Linked DNA regions of Lepisosteus oculatus. The protein of the gene in region 2 purifies or fractionates together with the protein of the main gene of each other region. This does not show direct contact. Links are inferred from orthologs where the notes say so. Each region holds a gene or a part of one and is shown on either strand. Other genes may lie near its edges. The genes, in order: kiz and sclt1.

The links.
Region 1: the proteins of sclt1 (region 2) and kiz purify together in Homo sapiens (co-immunoprecipitation; 3 studies listed by BioGRID and IntAct, counting the BioPlex papers as one, with this or other methods). This does not show direct contact. The link is inferred for Lepisosteus oculatus from reciprocal best matches to the Homo sapiens genes SCLT1 and KIZ.

The regions. Positions count from the first base shown.
Region 1 is NC_090697.1:10,154,722-10,162,962, reverse strand, and holds the start of kiz (centrosomal protein kizuna), read right to left. Parts: upstream 3,349-8,241; 5' UTR 3,019-3,348; coding exon 2,858-3,018; intron 1,759-2,857; coding exon 1,699-1,758; intron 631-1,698; coding exon 468-630; intron 1-467. UniProt on the Homo sapiens protein: Centrosomal protein required for establishing a robust mitotic centrosome architecture that can endure the forces that converge on the centrosomes during spindle formation. Required for stabilizing the expanded pericentriolar material around the centriole.
Region 2 is NC_090696.1:36,253,711-36,262,572, forward strand, and holds the start of sclt1 (sodium channel and clathrin linker 1), read right to left. Parts: upstream 3,923-8,862; 5' UTR 3,913-3,922; intron 2,908-3,912; exon of another isoform or gene 865-2,907; intron 1-864. UniProt on the Homo sapiens protein: Adapter protein that links SCN10A to clathrin. Regulates SCN10A channel activity, possibly by promoting channel internalization.

The DNA.
Region 1 (8,241 bases), on a different chromosome or scaffold from region 2:
GCCTCTGGGGAGGCCTCTGAAGTTGCATTCTTACAACTCCAAGATGTCTTTGCGGTGGAGATTTAAAAACAATCATCTTGTTTTTAATCTTGGGGTTTTTTTGGAGCTGGATTCAAATTTCAATCTATCCACAATCAGAAAACCAGAGAGAACATGCAAATTCCACACAGAAGGCACTCTAACCCAGAATCGAACCCGGGACCCAAGAGGTATGAGGTCTAAGAGCTAACCGCCACACTGCCATGGCCCATAGGCATTTACATATCAAAAATGCGACACATTCCCACTATAAAGATGAAGATCTACTCTAAAATGTAGATGTTCTGTTTCATTTTCCACAACATAAGACTTGGGTCCCACTGTATATGAAATGAAAATGTTAAACCAAAACATAAAATAAAATTGTTTGCAATGTACATACTGAAGAAGGATTAAATTATCCAATCTACATGCATTAAATGCATTACCTTTTTCTGATATAATGTGCTGTAGTCAGGAACCAGAGTTTTTAGATGCAATTCAATATGCTGAAAGTCTTTCAGAAACTGGAGGTTTCTAATCTTAGCTTGGTTTTCTCTTTCACAGATCTCCTTCAGATAGCAGCGCAATTTTGTATTTTTTATCTGGGATCTGAAAAGAAAAGTTAAAAATATTGTAAAGGTAACCCACTAATTAAAGGTGTCTCCTAAAATAATACAATGCATTTTAAGATTATACTGTCCTATAATCGGATACTTTCATATTTACATTTAAATAGTACACTGCAAAGGATAACGAGATCATTGTTTCCCAAACATTTTGATAACATGGCATTCTAGTTTTTTATCAGCAAGCCAATCACTTCATCCAGTGTCTCTCCTGTTAAATGTGTTTGTTTATACCACAGATTAAAATGCATCTCGTTTTAAAACAAAGGCTTTGGAGTACTCATTCCAAGTGCAATCATATCAACATTTAATGGGATGCAAACAGCATTTCCAAAAGTTACTGCTCCAATTGTTTTAAAACAAAAGTTGCATAGGTTAAGTGTCATCACAACAACATATGGACACTTTGTTCTGGGGAAAAATGGAGGAGCAAGTTTTGTTGGTGCCTGCTGTGGGGCATATTTATTACACTGGAAACAGAAAATCACCCATAGCTTGAAAAATGTGATTTAATTCAACCACAGAAGAAATTAGCTTTATCCTGCACAGGCACTAATACACATGCAATGTATTTCATTAATTCTGCATAATATGTTCATTAGTTATGAAAATATCTAAACTTGGGCAGTTTTAATATATAATGGTTTCATAGCACAGCAAGAAGGAATGTTTCCTGGTCTAGCTTGTCCTGCACCTTTTAAGAATTAACAAAAATGAAGCTCTAAAGCTCTACACTCTTTACTATATATGTGGTCATAAAGAAGATAGTTAAATGTATGGAATTACACTAAAAAAGGAATACAGACGATATGAGGGGAAAGTCGGTTTCAATTTTACTTTTTTTAACTTGTTACAGAAAGATTGACAGAGATAAAGTGCAAATACATTTTAAACGTAATAAACATACAGTGAACCATACTTCACTATTACAATACTGTAATCAGCAGATTACAATGTGTGAACAACTGTTCCCATGTTTTTTTTAAAAAAGCTCGACAAAGCCAAAGGCTGAAGTCACATCTAGATGAAGAAAACCGCTTTGCATACTCACATTCTGTCAGACCTGCAGTAAGTAAACAGCTCTCTTTCCAACTCCAATCTCTTTTTCTCACTGTCAAGGAAGACATCACAAGAGATAAAGCCAAAGCTTCTAACTTCAGAGGTTTTTTTATTAAAAAAAAGCTTTCGAATCCAAAGCAAATTAAAATTGAGCACTGTATATTCGAAAAGGTGAACTTTTCCCTCTACTGAAAATGTAACTCGTGATATGACAATCTGCACATTTGTCTCTTAAATTTAAAATGTTTGCTTTGATGGACTGAAGTCACTTAAGCTTGTTTATCTTGGTTTTTGGGACTAGTCAGTTGAAGCATATCGCTTATTCCCATCCTTATTCTGACACCCAAGAGGTCTAAATTAAACTGCACTTTACTGGAATTACAATTCTGTATGCAATATACATTCATGGACTGCATGCTTCCCAAATAGAACAATACAGCAGTAACGTTAAACTGTCTCCTTCATCAGCAAACAGACGCCTGCCTCCCTACCTACCTATATATTAGACAACAGCATATGTCCTTTCGCTCGATGTGCACCTTAGTGCATTTGGATGTCAAATTTCCAGGAATGTTACAACTAACAGAGATAATTTTACTACCAATAGTATAATTTACTGTACTGGTAAAAATCAATGAGTCTAGAGAAAAGTTGAGTCCTGCTATCGTTACATTTTAATTTCATATCGCATACAGACGAATCGGTTTTTACAACCTTGTAGACTTTCCAATATGATACAAGGAAACAACATATAAAGAAATCCCTTTACAAACGTTTCTGCCCACAAGAGATCGAAGTTTAAACTACTGCAGCTATGTAAAAAAAAAACGATTACCGGGGTTTCACACTAGCACAGCGACTAGACCCCCGCTCGTAAAACAATGTCTTCAAAATGTCTGGTAGGACGCGACATTTTTTCTTCTTAAAGTTAAAGTTTAAACGCCGTTTCACACTCGATAATGCGCAGTTTTCCGACCCCCCCCCCCCCCCCCCCAAAAAAAACCCTCCGCTGAAGAAACGAGCAGGACCGGAAACCACTTCAATCCAGTCCGAGGTCCCTGCTTCGGCCTGTTCGGTTCAACGGGGGAAGCAGAAAATGGATTTATGCGCCGTGATACTCGGAAATAATAAGCTCCGCCGGCCGGGCTCACCCTTCGTGCAGATTCCGCTGAAGGGCTCCGGTTCTCTCCAGGTACTGTTTCTCGGAAAGGGCCATGCTGCCGACTGGGGCTCCCCGAAGCCGAGCTCGGCGGCGCAGCGCTGTCTTGTTTACCCCGGTTGTCAGAGCACCGACAGTAAACACTCGAGCCATGAGGGAGCTTGAGCCAGCCAGCTGGAGCGGCGTGGCCTTGTCTGTGCTGAGAGAGGTGTTGCTCACCTTGTTTCACAAGAGCTGTTGCTCCCATCTTTCAAGTTATTCATCCAGTGCTGTGCGTTTGATTCTTTTTTGTTTTACTAGAATTATTATTATTATTATCCTGAAACGCCAACGTATCTTTTTTTTAATGTGAGAAATACATGTCACGTTTTGAACTGGATACCATTATCTTTCTTTACAAAATGTTGTAAAAATAGGAAGACAAATTGTTAAGCTTAGGGATAATATCTTACAAGTGGCAGAGATTAACAATGAAGCAACAGAGCCCAATTTAAAGGTTTGTAAAGGATGTTAACGGAAAAATAGATCTACTTATTTTTCTGTACCTCTTACCTGATATTTTATCAAAATAACTTTACTAGTACTTAAAGTAATTGATTACCTATAAGTAGAAATTAAGCCTAAGTATTATATAAATTCTATGCAGTTTTATAAGTTTATGCAAATATAATATGTAATATATAATTGTAGTTTGTCAATGTTTGGAGCACACTGTATTCTGAGGTATCCCACATGTCTGAAATGAGAAATTTGGAAAGGAACAAGTAAAGATTTATTCCATGATGAAAAGAAAAGACACACAACATTTTGGCTGTGGAGCCTTCTTCAGCTGTCACAGTGCAGACTTCATGGTTCTGTCGAGGATGGCAAATTATTTAGGCAGCAAAGCGGATCCAAATCATGATACTCCCACTAACATCCTTAACAGTTGGGATGAGGTTCCTCTGTTGGAAGAGAACATTTGGTTTTCGCCACACAAAACATTTTTTCCTTGTGGCCTACTATTTGAGACAGAAGGCAAAATTCTTTACAGAGAGCACTGGTGTCTTCCTGGCTATCCCTCCACTCCCATTCAGTGTTTTCCTGAAGGCTGAGGCATGAACAGTGACTCTTGCCACAACAAAAGAGGCCTGCAGATCATGAGGCTTACTCTGGGTTGTTTGTGACTTCCTGGGTGATGTTCCAGGTTGCTCTCAGGGAGATCTGGACTTTGAAAAGTTTCCATCTGTAGACTGACAGTGGATGGATAGAGCCCAAAAACGTGTAGGGATAGTTTTGTAACCATCTGCAGATTGATGAACACAAACAACTCTTTGCGGAGGAAACTTTGAAATCTTGCCTGTTCATTTGCAACAAAGCCGCAAAGGTTCGTACCATTATACAGGACAGGGTGGCCCAGACTCAGAACTTGTTACTTTTTACCTAATTATTTAACCACCTGATTCTAAAGCCGGCATCACACTAGAGGCCTCGACATGACAGAGCATGTCAACTATAATGACTGCAGTTGCTGAATCTCCCTGCCTTTTCTGTCCAGGAGGGTGTCAAGTTATACGACTAGGAATCGCAGGGGGTGAGTAATTACACGATTCTCTCACGACTTTTCGTCACGGCTCCTAATGTCGTATATGGCCGTGAAGTACCGCGAGGTCGCCACGTTTTGGCAGCCAATCAGTTTGATTTTATCGCAGCGAGTCTCAGAGAGCCGTAGGGGCTGTTAAGAGCGCTTGCTGGGTGTCACACTACACAACTGACGGCAACGTTGGGGGTGTCACACTACACAACTGACGGCAACGTTGGGGGTGTCACACTACACAACTGACGGTAACAGGCACATGTTGCGACTCTCTACAACTAGCTATGATATTCTTATGATTATGTAAATGAAGGCTTCGAAAATCCTAGTAAAGTTTGTGTAGTGTGACGCTGGCATAAGTAATCCCTTAAATGTGATAAAGCACACTAGGGGTTCACATTATACTTTCATATAACAGTATGTTTGTTTTTTTTTACTTCATATAGCATTGCATCAAAAAAAATTGAATTGCTACACAAAAAATATATTGGGGGTTCACAGGCTTTTTCTCTGCAGTGCAGTGCAGGTCTTTAAGAAAATTGTAGACAGTTTAGCGGGTCTCTAATGGATTTGGCCAATTTCTATACAGACATGAGAAGAAATACAGTATATTGCCCATTGTGGAGCCTGGTCAACTGAGTGAGAAGGCCAAAATAAGCAGATCTAAATTTAAAACCTGAGCTGTACTTCTGCAGTAAACCCTTAAGATAATATAAAACTAGATCATTGGTTGTTTTATATATGAGTTTCTGAATGTTAAAGTCTCTAAATTTTATAGCAAGCTAGTGCAATATGCAGTGGAAAGGAGTTATGCAGAGTCCTTTTTGTTATGTTTCTGATTTTTCTTATTTCTTTGTGTTTTTCAGAGCAGCATTAACCTCTGCTTGTACATTTAGTTTGGTTCACAGTTGCATTCTGACTGACTAGAATGAACCCCAGTGAGTAAGGTATTAGAGTTATCTAATCTCAATTAAATAAAGGCACATATCAGTATTTCAGTGTCAGTCAGGCAGAGCAAGGGTCTTACTCAAGCAATATTATGTAGCGTAAGAAAGATATTTCTAATATGCACTTCAAATGTGGGACCAATTTTTCTAAATTCCATTAAAGGCTTGATTCAGGGACCACCATCAACAGCACTGAAGTCAGCAACTTTGCAAAGCTGATGTTGAGAGTCTGTGAGCATAACTCTGTCTTGCCACCATTTAGCTTAAGAATGTTCTGTTGCATCCATATTTTAATGTCAGGCCACCTGTAAAGTGCAGAAACTACAGCAAATGCATCTAATTTTGTGAGATCGCATAATCTCAGTGTCTTCAGTATAGCAGGGACACCAAATAGACCAAGAGACAACATATAAATGTGCCTTTACTAAATACTAAAGGTCCCAGCACAGAACCCTATGAATCATCCTGAATAAGTGGGACAACATCAAATTTGAAATGGCCACGATTTACAAATTGGCTCCTGGTAGTCAAATACGAGCCAAAGCAATGAAGGAAAGTCACAGTAATCCCTAGGTAATTTTTCTTTCAAGCCAGTAGGATGCTGTGATTGACAGTATCAAAAACTGCACTTAAATCCATAAGAAGAAGGATATTAAGTGACCCAGAGTCAGAAGCCATCATACAAATCATTAACTACCTTAACAAGAATCTGTTTCACTGCTGTGTCTCAGTCTGATATGCTAGTTGATAATGCTATGTCACTAGTATTATCATAATAATTTCTGTAGTTTCAACATCACACTTTCCTTTAAAACAGGGCAAAAACAGAAGTATGCTTTCACCAACATGAAAGGGTTGCAGATGAGCAGTGTACAATCTATCAGTGTATATCTTTGCCAGTTGTTTCTGGTATTGAAAGGAGGAAACGTAGCTAAGGTAAGCAAGCCATAAATAAAATAATTCTCAAATTATTAGTTTCAGATTCTTAAAGATTCGATTTCTTTTCCTCTCCAAACTATTGTATGGGGTCACACTGGAAATGATAGTACCATAAATCTATAATAATGTTTATGTTTCTTTATTAGCCCTATACAATTTCTTGCATTAGGAATTTGTCTTTTTGCATACCCCAGCTTTTCTCCATGGAGACACAGACACACAGACAGGGAGAAGCTTGGGGTCAGAAAGCAGGGTCTGCCATTGTACGGCACTCCTGGAGCAGTTGGTGTTAAGGGCCTTGCTCAGGGGCCCAATGGAGTAGGATTCCTCTGCCGGCCGCGGGATTTGAACTGGCAACTTTCCAGTCACAGGTGCAGATCCTTAGCCACAGAGCCACCGCTCCGCCCCAGGGATCTACAGGAAACTGTACTTTAAAAAATGTGTTTATGGTAATTAAAGTGATGTGCCACAGACCAATGACAATGCGTCAGTTATAATTCATTAAAGGAGGTGAATGGAATTTGTCGTATATGAAAAGTAAGGAGTACAGTGATTGAAGTGCTTGCAGCATACAGTAAGTCACGTGATTAACAAAACAGACTGGTTATGTACAATGTCTGGTTTGAGCTGAGCATATATTATACCAAGTAAGATGAAGTGTCATGTGTACCTAAACCTTACAAACAAAAACACTTTCTCTCTCAACCAGGAAGAAGGAACGACGCAGTAATGGATCACTTGAGTAACAGACTTGATTTCTGTCAGCGCAACTGCTGCAGCTCTGCTCTGCCCCTGTCTGCTCATGGGCTCAGAGCCACGTCTTAGACAACAGTGGACTCCACTACATTCCAAGACCTGTCTAGGTTTCTAGAAATAAACCAAATATTACCGATCACTGTTAACATCCGCTTATCTACGAGAGAAATTGTTCCTAGATGCTATGATTTAACAATTAGAATACATCTTCTCAGACTAAGAAGAAGGCTGTGTAAAACAATAGAGAACATAAGGGAAAAGAAAGGGTGACAAGGATATTCACGTTGTTTTGCTGTGTCTCTGGGACATTTCAAGAGCCTACAGGCCTTGATCATGAAGACCGTAACAACATGATATAACATAAAATCAGCCGAATGACCATAACCACGTCATGTGTGGAAACTCCTGTTAATTACTGAAGACAATTCATGGAAAACATCTTGGCAACTGAGTTTCACAATTATTATTTTTACGGACTAGGCAGTATCCGACAACAGAAGAAAGGTTATGATCACAAGGAGGTGGCAAGAAAAATAATCTGGTCTAGTGTTTGACTTGCTATTTTCTGTTTTTCTTTGAGACATGATTGAAGACGTTGTCTTTGGAGGTGCGAGTGTAAGGTATTAAAGAGGTACTGCTTCTCATTTAACACAAAGGCTCCAATGTTAGATTATGAAGTCTGTCTAGCTTGTCATCAGCACTTTGACAAAATGCTCAAGGGAAGTTTACTTGTACCCCTGCAAACCCATCCACGGTTTGCAATTTTCCAAAGATAACATAAGTTGGATAGTGCATGATTAGTTTTTCTTTTCCCCGAATCCAACATTGACAGACATTGACCAACTCCTGAGTATGTTGACCAATGTTTATGGTCCCAATGAGAGTCCTTTGTGCTAGGTTAGTTTAAGTTTGGTGCATGAATGTGACCTAACTTTGACAATTCAAGCTCATTTGGTTGCTACAATAGAAGCAAAATGATTCAAGGAACTCATACAGACATTTTTTTAATGAAGCTACGGTCACCAGGTAACAGCATGGCTGGGTGACTTGTTTTATACTGTTAAAGCCCTTTAGGTAAAGAAGTGCCTCCTGTTCTCAGTTTTAAATGCACTTCCACACATTATAAGTCTGTTTTGAGTGCTTGATTTAGGCCTCTTT
Region 2 (8,862 bases):
CAGCTCTCTACAGCTCGCTGTGATTTTCTTGCGATTATGAAAATGATGATGTGTGATGCCCGCATAAGGGAAGTTTGGAGGAAGGGAGAGTTAAAAATCTACAAAAATAACCTGAGCTGTGTGAACAATAGCCATGCAAAAAACTGCCACGAAGCGTTCTTTCAGGACCCTATGCAGACAACACAATCCGGGGGGAGTGAAGAAAACGTGCAAGAAAAAGGCATGCAGGAGTCGGGAATGAAAACAGGGGGGTGTCCATGGTGCGCTGGTGTTCAGGGGAGGTGTGGCCTAGGCAAACAGTCCAAGGGAGTCCGAGGCAAATCCATGAATGAAGCAAATGTCCAAGACCTGGTAATCCATCCTGGCAGACAAACAGAGTTAAAAGCTGGAGTGGAATCTGGTGGAGGGTTGGGGGAATAAAAGGGGGTAACGGGACCAGACGCTCCCAAATCCCAGACTCAGTAGGTCAGGGCGCTGCGATGAAGCCTATGCCATCGAGTTGCTCCTGGACTCGTGGGTAGGTGGGCTTCCAGGCGTCCATCTTCCAAAGCTGAGCCCCGATAGGTAGGAACTGGAGGCAGGTGCAGCAGATCAGTACTGAACAAGGAAGGACTGGAGTGTCCTTAAGAGGAGGGGTTTACGATCGTGACAAAAACTGCTTTTAGGATCTAAAATTACAAGCAATCATTGTGCTCCAATTCTATGTAGCATATTTCTTCAATGTTTACCCATCTAAGAGCTGAAGTGTATTATGATGAGTAGTATCTTACTATTCTAAATAGAGATATTCACACAAGCATACAATTCTGAAAGATTAGTTCTTTTCCAGAGTTAAAACTAACTTTTCTTTGATTTTTTTCACAGGTGTTCAAAGTGCTTTCACAGACAATCAAAAGAGACTGGGAATGAGACATCATGGAAGCAGAACAATCTTTGTATATCACTTTGTGTTCTGTGACTTTATCTTTTTTTAGTATGAGAAACTAAGTAGTTCATGCTGGTTAGATAAGACACAGCTTTTGTGCCTGTTTTCTGAATCTGAACTGACAGCCTGGCATACACTGAATATTGCAAAGAAAGGAGTTTGGAAAAATGATATACAGTACAGGATTGTGGGATACTATAGGTTCTTAATGACATCAATCATTTTTACAAAAATAAGTCATACTTCTCTTTATCAGTTAAACTGATCATTTCACAATGCACAATGAGCTAAATAAAAGATAAAAAACATATATACCATCAATGGCCTCCAGATAACATGGGCAAAGTAAGATGTCAGTTCCTGTGTAGAATTATTATGAGGATTCAAAATCGAAACCATAGAAAGTGAAATCCTTCTCGCTACTTTTATAGTTAGGGATTTTTTTATCTCTTCATCTCCCCACCCCATCACATGCTCTGAGGTTTTTGTGCATGTCAGTTAACACAACCACTGCAAACGACAAGAAAGTGTCAGTTGCAAAAGTGGGGCAGGAAAAAAAGCTTTTGAAAAGGTAGATGCTCCCTGCAGGTTTCTGTGGGCTTAGCTGTAAGGCACGGTAACAGGCATCAGGATCTGCAAGGTAGAGGGCCAATGAAAAAGATTTAAATGAAGAGTTGTGCTATTATTTGGAAGGCTGTGCACTGAGCCATTTTTCTTTACTGAACTCTAGTTCAACTGTTCACGTAAATGCACAGTACTTTCAAAAACTGCTACAGACCAGAAATGCAAAAAAAATTTTTCACTTGACAATGTATTGTAAAAGTACTGTTAAGCTAAGTAAAACAAATGACAATTTTATGAAAATTATTCACACCAGTCCATATTTATATCATAGTATGCTCTTTACTACATATAAATCTGAAAATGTTGAGTGTAACCGTAACCCTTTACCAGACTACAGGGATAAATTCAAGATTTTAACCTACATGCATGAAAGTTCCAAATGTATACTGTACTACCATATTCATACAGGCTTACAGCATTATTCTCAATACTTTTACAGCAATTAACAAATCATCATCAACTAAGTGATGATGAAATTCAGAAAAAAAAACTCAATAGTTAGCTTTATAGCTGCATTATTTTAGCCACTGATGCCTCTTTGCAATTAGTACATCACTGTTTGCATCATATACTGTATACAGTACAAAGAGCAGAAAACTTGCTTTGGAATCTCTCATAGCATGTTTACTTACATATGCAACAAAACCTGACACGGCTGCTATAAGGTAATCCCTTAAACCTTTAAAATGCTAATCAAATTTCAAATGTACAAAATAAGCGTATCTTTGTGTTTGCAAAATCTGAATGCTACAGTAGAACACAAATGGTAATGTATGATAAAATCACCAGATCCTGTTTCCAGGAGCCCTGTCCAGTGATATACAGTATAAGGTAAAGTGAGTGCAAAAAGTCTTTAAACCTAAAGTTGGTACTTTTTGTAAGTAAAAGACAGCTAGACACCAGCATCATACTTTAAGCCTTCTTTGTATCAATCTGCCTGTAAACAAAAGATATTTATGGAATCTACCACATCTGTATTTCTCCCTACTCATTTATCCATGATCCATCCATCCATGTACAGACCTTTTTCCTTTATTACTGCAATGAATCAGTGCTACTTCATTTTCAAAAAACAGCTAGATGTCATTACAGAGGAGTAAACAGACCGCAGTGCGTCTGGACTAAGGCTATCTTGGAGAAACTGACAAGGCACAAATGAACATGACACTATTCGTTTTATTAACCACCAACAGAAACATGATCGTGTGTGATAGACAGCCATTTTGTTTTGTTTTCTTTATCAAAATTCATGAAGTCTGAACTCACAACCAAAAAACAATCTTTAAAGACTATCTAGGGAAATCATTATTTACTGAACTGCTGTGCATATTGTCTGGCTTAATAAATTGTACTTCATACCTCGGTATTTTATTTTTTACAACAGAAAAAGACAGAGAAGATGATGAACAGGTAAAGAGAGATAATGCCCATTACTTATCCACTAATACAGGGGTGCCCAACCAGTCGATCGCGATCTACCAGTCAATCTCTCGCAAGAGATAAATAAAAAATAAATGGGCTATTTGACTATTTACTTTTTTTTGATAATCTAAAAATGTATTCAGATCTGTGCATGTAATGTCATACATTTTACTGCCTTTGTGTGTGTTGAACTCTTGTCGAATGGGTTGTAAAAGTCTCTTCCCTGAGTGCTGGCTGACACAGGGGATAAAAAAGTTACAGAAGCTCCGTAAATAAAGATTGTTGTGTGTGCTACCCAAGAATGTTCTCTTGGTTATTGCTGCATGAGCCCCAAATTCGCTAAAGCGCATGCTGGAGCGAAACCGACTGGCCATATAAAATTTGCCAACAGTTTGATAAGTTTGATTGCCTTTTTGATAGTTGTAGTGTTTGAGCGAAAATGATGAAGCAAAGAGACGAAAACTTACTGTTAACACAAGGAATGCGAGCGTGGTGGGGACCGACCTGAGGCGGCAGAGTCGAGGGCGCATACCCACGTGAACCCCGGAGCATTACATTGGTGTCAGGAGTGGGGTGGGATAGCCCTTCACCGAGGACGGTGAATTAAGCGGGGGAGAGTGTAACTCTCTAAGGCCACCATTGGTTGTTCGAGCCAGCTTACTAGCGTGGTGACGTCACTGCCCTTCCCTGTGAATAGCAGGGACTGCAGCCACCGGGCTGACAGGAGATTTCCCTTTAGCTCAAGTGATTGGGTCCCTGTTGAGTGACGCCAGAGGCCCGGGTTTGAGTCCCCAGCGGTGGGGGGCTGACCTGAGGCGGCAGAGGTGAGGGCGCATACCCATGTGAACCCCGGAGTGTTACATTATTATTTTTTGTACTATTGCATTCAAATCTGCAATGCTAGCATCTACGAAAAAGGGAAATGTCCAACATTTCAAAACTGCACACAAAATGTATGATGTGGACTTTCCCGCTAAAAGTGAGTTAGGGAAAAGAAAAGTGGAAAAATTTAAATCTCAACTACCAGCAGTCGGTTTTCACGAGGCCTAATAGTATTCGTAATTAGTATTAGAAGTAGTAATACAAGAAGGAAAGCTTCAATCATTGCATTGTTCCGTGTGAGCCATGTCCTTGCTAAACACAAAAAGTAATTCAGGGATCGAGAAGTAATAAAAAAAGCATTTCCTGAGGCTGCTGACTTGCTGTTTGGAGATTTCAAAAACAAACATTTTTGACAGCTGTTACCTGAAATCAAAGAGTTTCTCAAGTCGTCTAAACATGGTGAATATGCCCAATTAGAGGATGACCACTGGCTTCTGGATTTAGCATTCCTCACAAACTTGACTGAACTGCTGAATGAGCTGAATGTCGAGCATTCTTTTTTTCTTAAACGGGGAACAATACTTGTTCACTGTAGTATGAGTCACTTGCTTTTATTTGCTGTAATTTTAGTGATGGGTATCGCTATTGTACTGATGTGTCCACAGTCTGTTTTTCCTATATCACAGCTTCAAATTCACACTGGTAAATCGCGCTGGACTGGAAAATGAAAGTAAATCTTACATTAAAATGTTTGGGCACCCCTACACTAATACAATCAAAGTGAAGTACTTAAGGAAGACAACCTACAGATGCACACAAGTGGCCACAAAATTGTAGGTTACGTCTGGACTAAAATGGGAGTTTGAAAAGGGTTAGAAATTGGTATGATCTATATAAATATAGATCATACCAATAAGGTATGCCTTAAATAGTATGCCTTAAAAGCTTAGAGCATAACCTTCATAACCTCTAGAATTAAAGGCATTCTTGTACCATAAATATTGAAAAAGGTTTCTTATGTACAATAAATTTGCACTTTTCAGAAAGTACCTAGGCCAAAAATATAATTTTAAAATTGTTTCCTTCCAAAGCAATTATTCAAATGTACATTTTCATTTACATTTACATTTTACATATTCACATTTACAATAAGCTTCACCAAAAAAAGTCAAAATTATTTAAAGGGCTGAAAAACAGTTAGATTATTAAAGTTTCCTAAGGTAAAAGAAGAAACCTGGGCTAGAAGGTATTCTAGTTATACCAACAGGGATCATGACTCATGACATACAGTATAGGAACCATTTAACATTCTGCCCTTTTAGCCAAGATGGGCCAGTATCCAGGCTTAAACACAGATGGCTTGTGCAGTTACATGCTGAGTGTCCCCATGATACTCAAGTTCACGTCTACTGTAGTTATGCTGGTTGGAGATCCCCAGGTCAGGTCAGGGCTAAAGTTGTTTAGTGTTCACAGCAACTACCCACTTATAAGGTGTCTGTCACCATGACAGAACTGAAACGTGAGAGAAACTATCCTAAAACATCAGAAATAAGCCCTGTGCATTTTAATTACCTTGAACAGGCAAGTAAATTTAAAAAGCAAACAACCAGGCCTGGCAATGGCTGTGGTCCTCAAGGGATCTTTCAGGCAACCGAAGAAGACGCAGAAACAGCAGATCATGAGAAAGGATGTAGAAAATGAGCCCTTGGGGCACAAAAGGAACGGAAGAGATAAATACAGGAGCAGAACGAATTCAAGATTGAGTGCAATAAAGTGAGATGGTGTTTTGAAACTTCCAATATTTTGAAATGTATGGAAGAAAATCAAAATAGGATACAAGTTTGACCTACTGTACAGTACTAATGAAATATTTAAAAAAAATAATTCATGCAAAATTTAGAATTAAAAAAAGGTTTAGAGAGCCAGGCAGGAGATCAGGAAACATTGGGTATTGGAATAGCTTGTTGAATCACTTTGAGTGAGCATTGAAGTCTGTTTCGTGGGCTTTGCTTGTGCAGTATTTCGTTTTGATGACCTTCATCTTAGGTTATGTACTGGACACAGCCTGCTTAAATTCTTTATGTTTTAAACTTCATACCTTTCGATTCTGTAGTATGGTTGACCTACAGTATACAGTATGTCATCTATCAGAATGTCATTTAAGCGGGCTTCATCAAAAACAGTCAATCATCTTCCAAATTTTTATTTCCCACATTTTCAAATAAAGCTTCCATGTAAATCCTTAATAAGGAATATGGTCCGGTACAAAATAATTTACTACTATAGCATACTGTATCACTAAAGGCTGCCACTAGTCAATGCATGGTTGACACTCTTGGGAAGGCCAAGTTACGTCAGAGCTCTGGCCCAGGGATTTTAAAGTATTAATGATGTACTGGAGAATAAATGCCTGCTATAGACCAGTGAAGCTGCAAAATTTAATTTCCCTGCCAAATGCTGCAGTTGGGGCTTTGACTTGCATTTCTTAGAGGAGAATTTATTTAAAACCATTTTAATCTCTGCCAGTTAATCTTCCAGTGGTGACAAACCAATTCAAGGTAAACTGGATGCCTCAAAACAAGAGGATGCTGTTTTTGTTAGTAGCCTTACTTCATGTACCAACAAACCTGGCAGAACACTTTTCCTGAAAGCATATTAGACGTATACTCGTCACCCATTCAAAAATAACATCATTTTGTTCTGTAATATAAAATCTCCAATTAAATCAAATAACACTTCACTTTCTGATGATTCCTAGTTAAAGTGTTTTATTAAATTTGTTCTCTTTCATGCAACTATCGAGACAAATGTTCCAATTAGATTTAGGCGAGGTTCAGGAAACAAACTTGGACCTGATTTAAGTTACAATTGAATAACAATTGAATATGTAAAGAATTGAAAATATACCTGTGTATTTACTAAGTAATTACTACATAGAATCCTGCAGGCCACTGACTGATGACTGAATATAGCTAAAGCCAATTAAAGTAGAAATTCACTGCAACTGTAATAGGATCAAAAAACAATTTCGATAAAACTGTACCAACCCATCTAAAATGCAACTTCTAAGCACTGCTGATCATAGTATTCTACACTTTATTACACATTGAAACTCGCATATCTCCTTGAATCATATAATTATTTAGTATATCAAAAGTGCTGGTTAAACAAAATAGAGTAGGAATTTAAGGAAGGAGAAAAATTAAGTTTTCCACCTCAAGCATATCTTGTCTAAAGAGGCTGATTAGGTATACAGTATATGATATATTCACTTTGAATATGATGGTACCTAATGAGATGAATGAAGTGTTAGAAATGGTACAGTACATTTTCCTGACCACAATAAGTTAGTTTATCTATTAATTTGTTGTTTCTAAATGTATATATGGTAATATATAGCTTTATCTCTTTTTGCCAAATGCTACTGTATATTGACTGTTCAGTTAATTGTCCCGGCACAAAGTTTTATAGTTTTAAACAATACATATAAAGCAATTCAATTACACATAATATTCTACTAACTAAAAGCTTATATCTGTAGATGTCCAGGAACAGAAATTAATATAATTAATTAGAATTTATTTTTCATTCATTGACAAACTATCAGTAGTTTGCACTGTGGATGCTTAGTTTTTGTAGCATTTATAGGAGGAAACTAACTTCATCTACCATAAAATAAAGGTAAGTTGGCAATATGGTTATCACATTACTAAACCTTTTTAAACAGACACTTCACTTTTAAAGATGAGTGATTAAGACATTACAGTAAGTTAACTTCTTTACAATGGAATAATATTGTTCTTGTCAAAATTGTGTGCCTGTATATTTCACTTGAGGTTGAAACATTTTCAGTTATATTGAACTCGTAAGAGTTGATGTAGTAATATCTTTCTTCTGGGTTTATTGTGTGCTTCCAGTGCTCTCTTGTAGCCTACGCTTCGAGCATCAGTTCCAACTTATCAAAAGCCTCACCAGAATAAGAGGCTTGCAGGTAACAGATTTGTAAGATATATCATTACATCATGCCAGTGTCCAACCATTTTCTAACCACTTCTTCCAATACAAGGTTGTGGGAGAGTCAGAGTCTATCCCAGCAAGCAACAGGCACAAGACAGAATACTCTCTGGACAGGATGCCAGTTCATCACATGGGAAACATGCAGACAGAAACACACATACACTCACATCAGAGCCAATTTTCCCAGAAGCCAAATACAGTGGTGTGAAAAAGTGTTTGCCCCCTTCCTGATTTATTTTTTTGCATGTTTGTCACACTGAAATGTTTCAGATCAAACAAATTGAAATATTAGACAAAGATAACACAAGTAAACACAAAATGCAGTTTTTAAAAGGTTTTTATTATTAATGGAAAAAAAAATCCAAACCTACATGGCCCTGTGTGAAAAAGTGATTGCCCCCTTAACCTAATAACTGGTTGGGCCACTCTTAGCAGCAACAACTGCAATCAAGCATTTGCGATAACTGGCAATAAGTCTTTAATAGCGGAAGGAGGAATTTTGGCCCACTCATCTTTACAGAATTGTTGTAAATCAGCCACATTGGAGGGTTTTCAAGCCTTAACCGCTTTTTTATGGTCATGCCACAACATGTCAATCGGATTCAGGTCAGGACTTTGACGCCACTCCAAAGTCTTGGTGGCCTTGCTGGTGTGTTTTGGATCATTGTCCTGCTGCAGAACCCAAGTGCACGTCAGCTTGAGGTCATGAACAGATGACCGGACATTCTCCTTCAGGATTTTTTGGTAGACAGCGGAATTCATGGTTCCATTTACCACCGCAAGTCTTCCAGGTCCTGAAGCAGCAAAACAGCCCCAGACCATCACACTACCACCACCATATTTTACTGTTGGTATGATGTTCCTTTTCTGAAATGCTGTGTTACTTTTACACCAGATGTAATGGGACACACACCTTCCAAAGAGTTCAACTTTTGTCTCATCAGTCCACAGAGTATTCTCCCAAAAGTCTTGGGGGATCATCAAGATGTTTTCTGGCAAAACTGAGACAAGCCTTTATGTTCTTTTTGCTCAGCAGTGGTTTTCATCTTGGA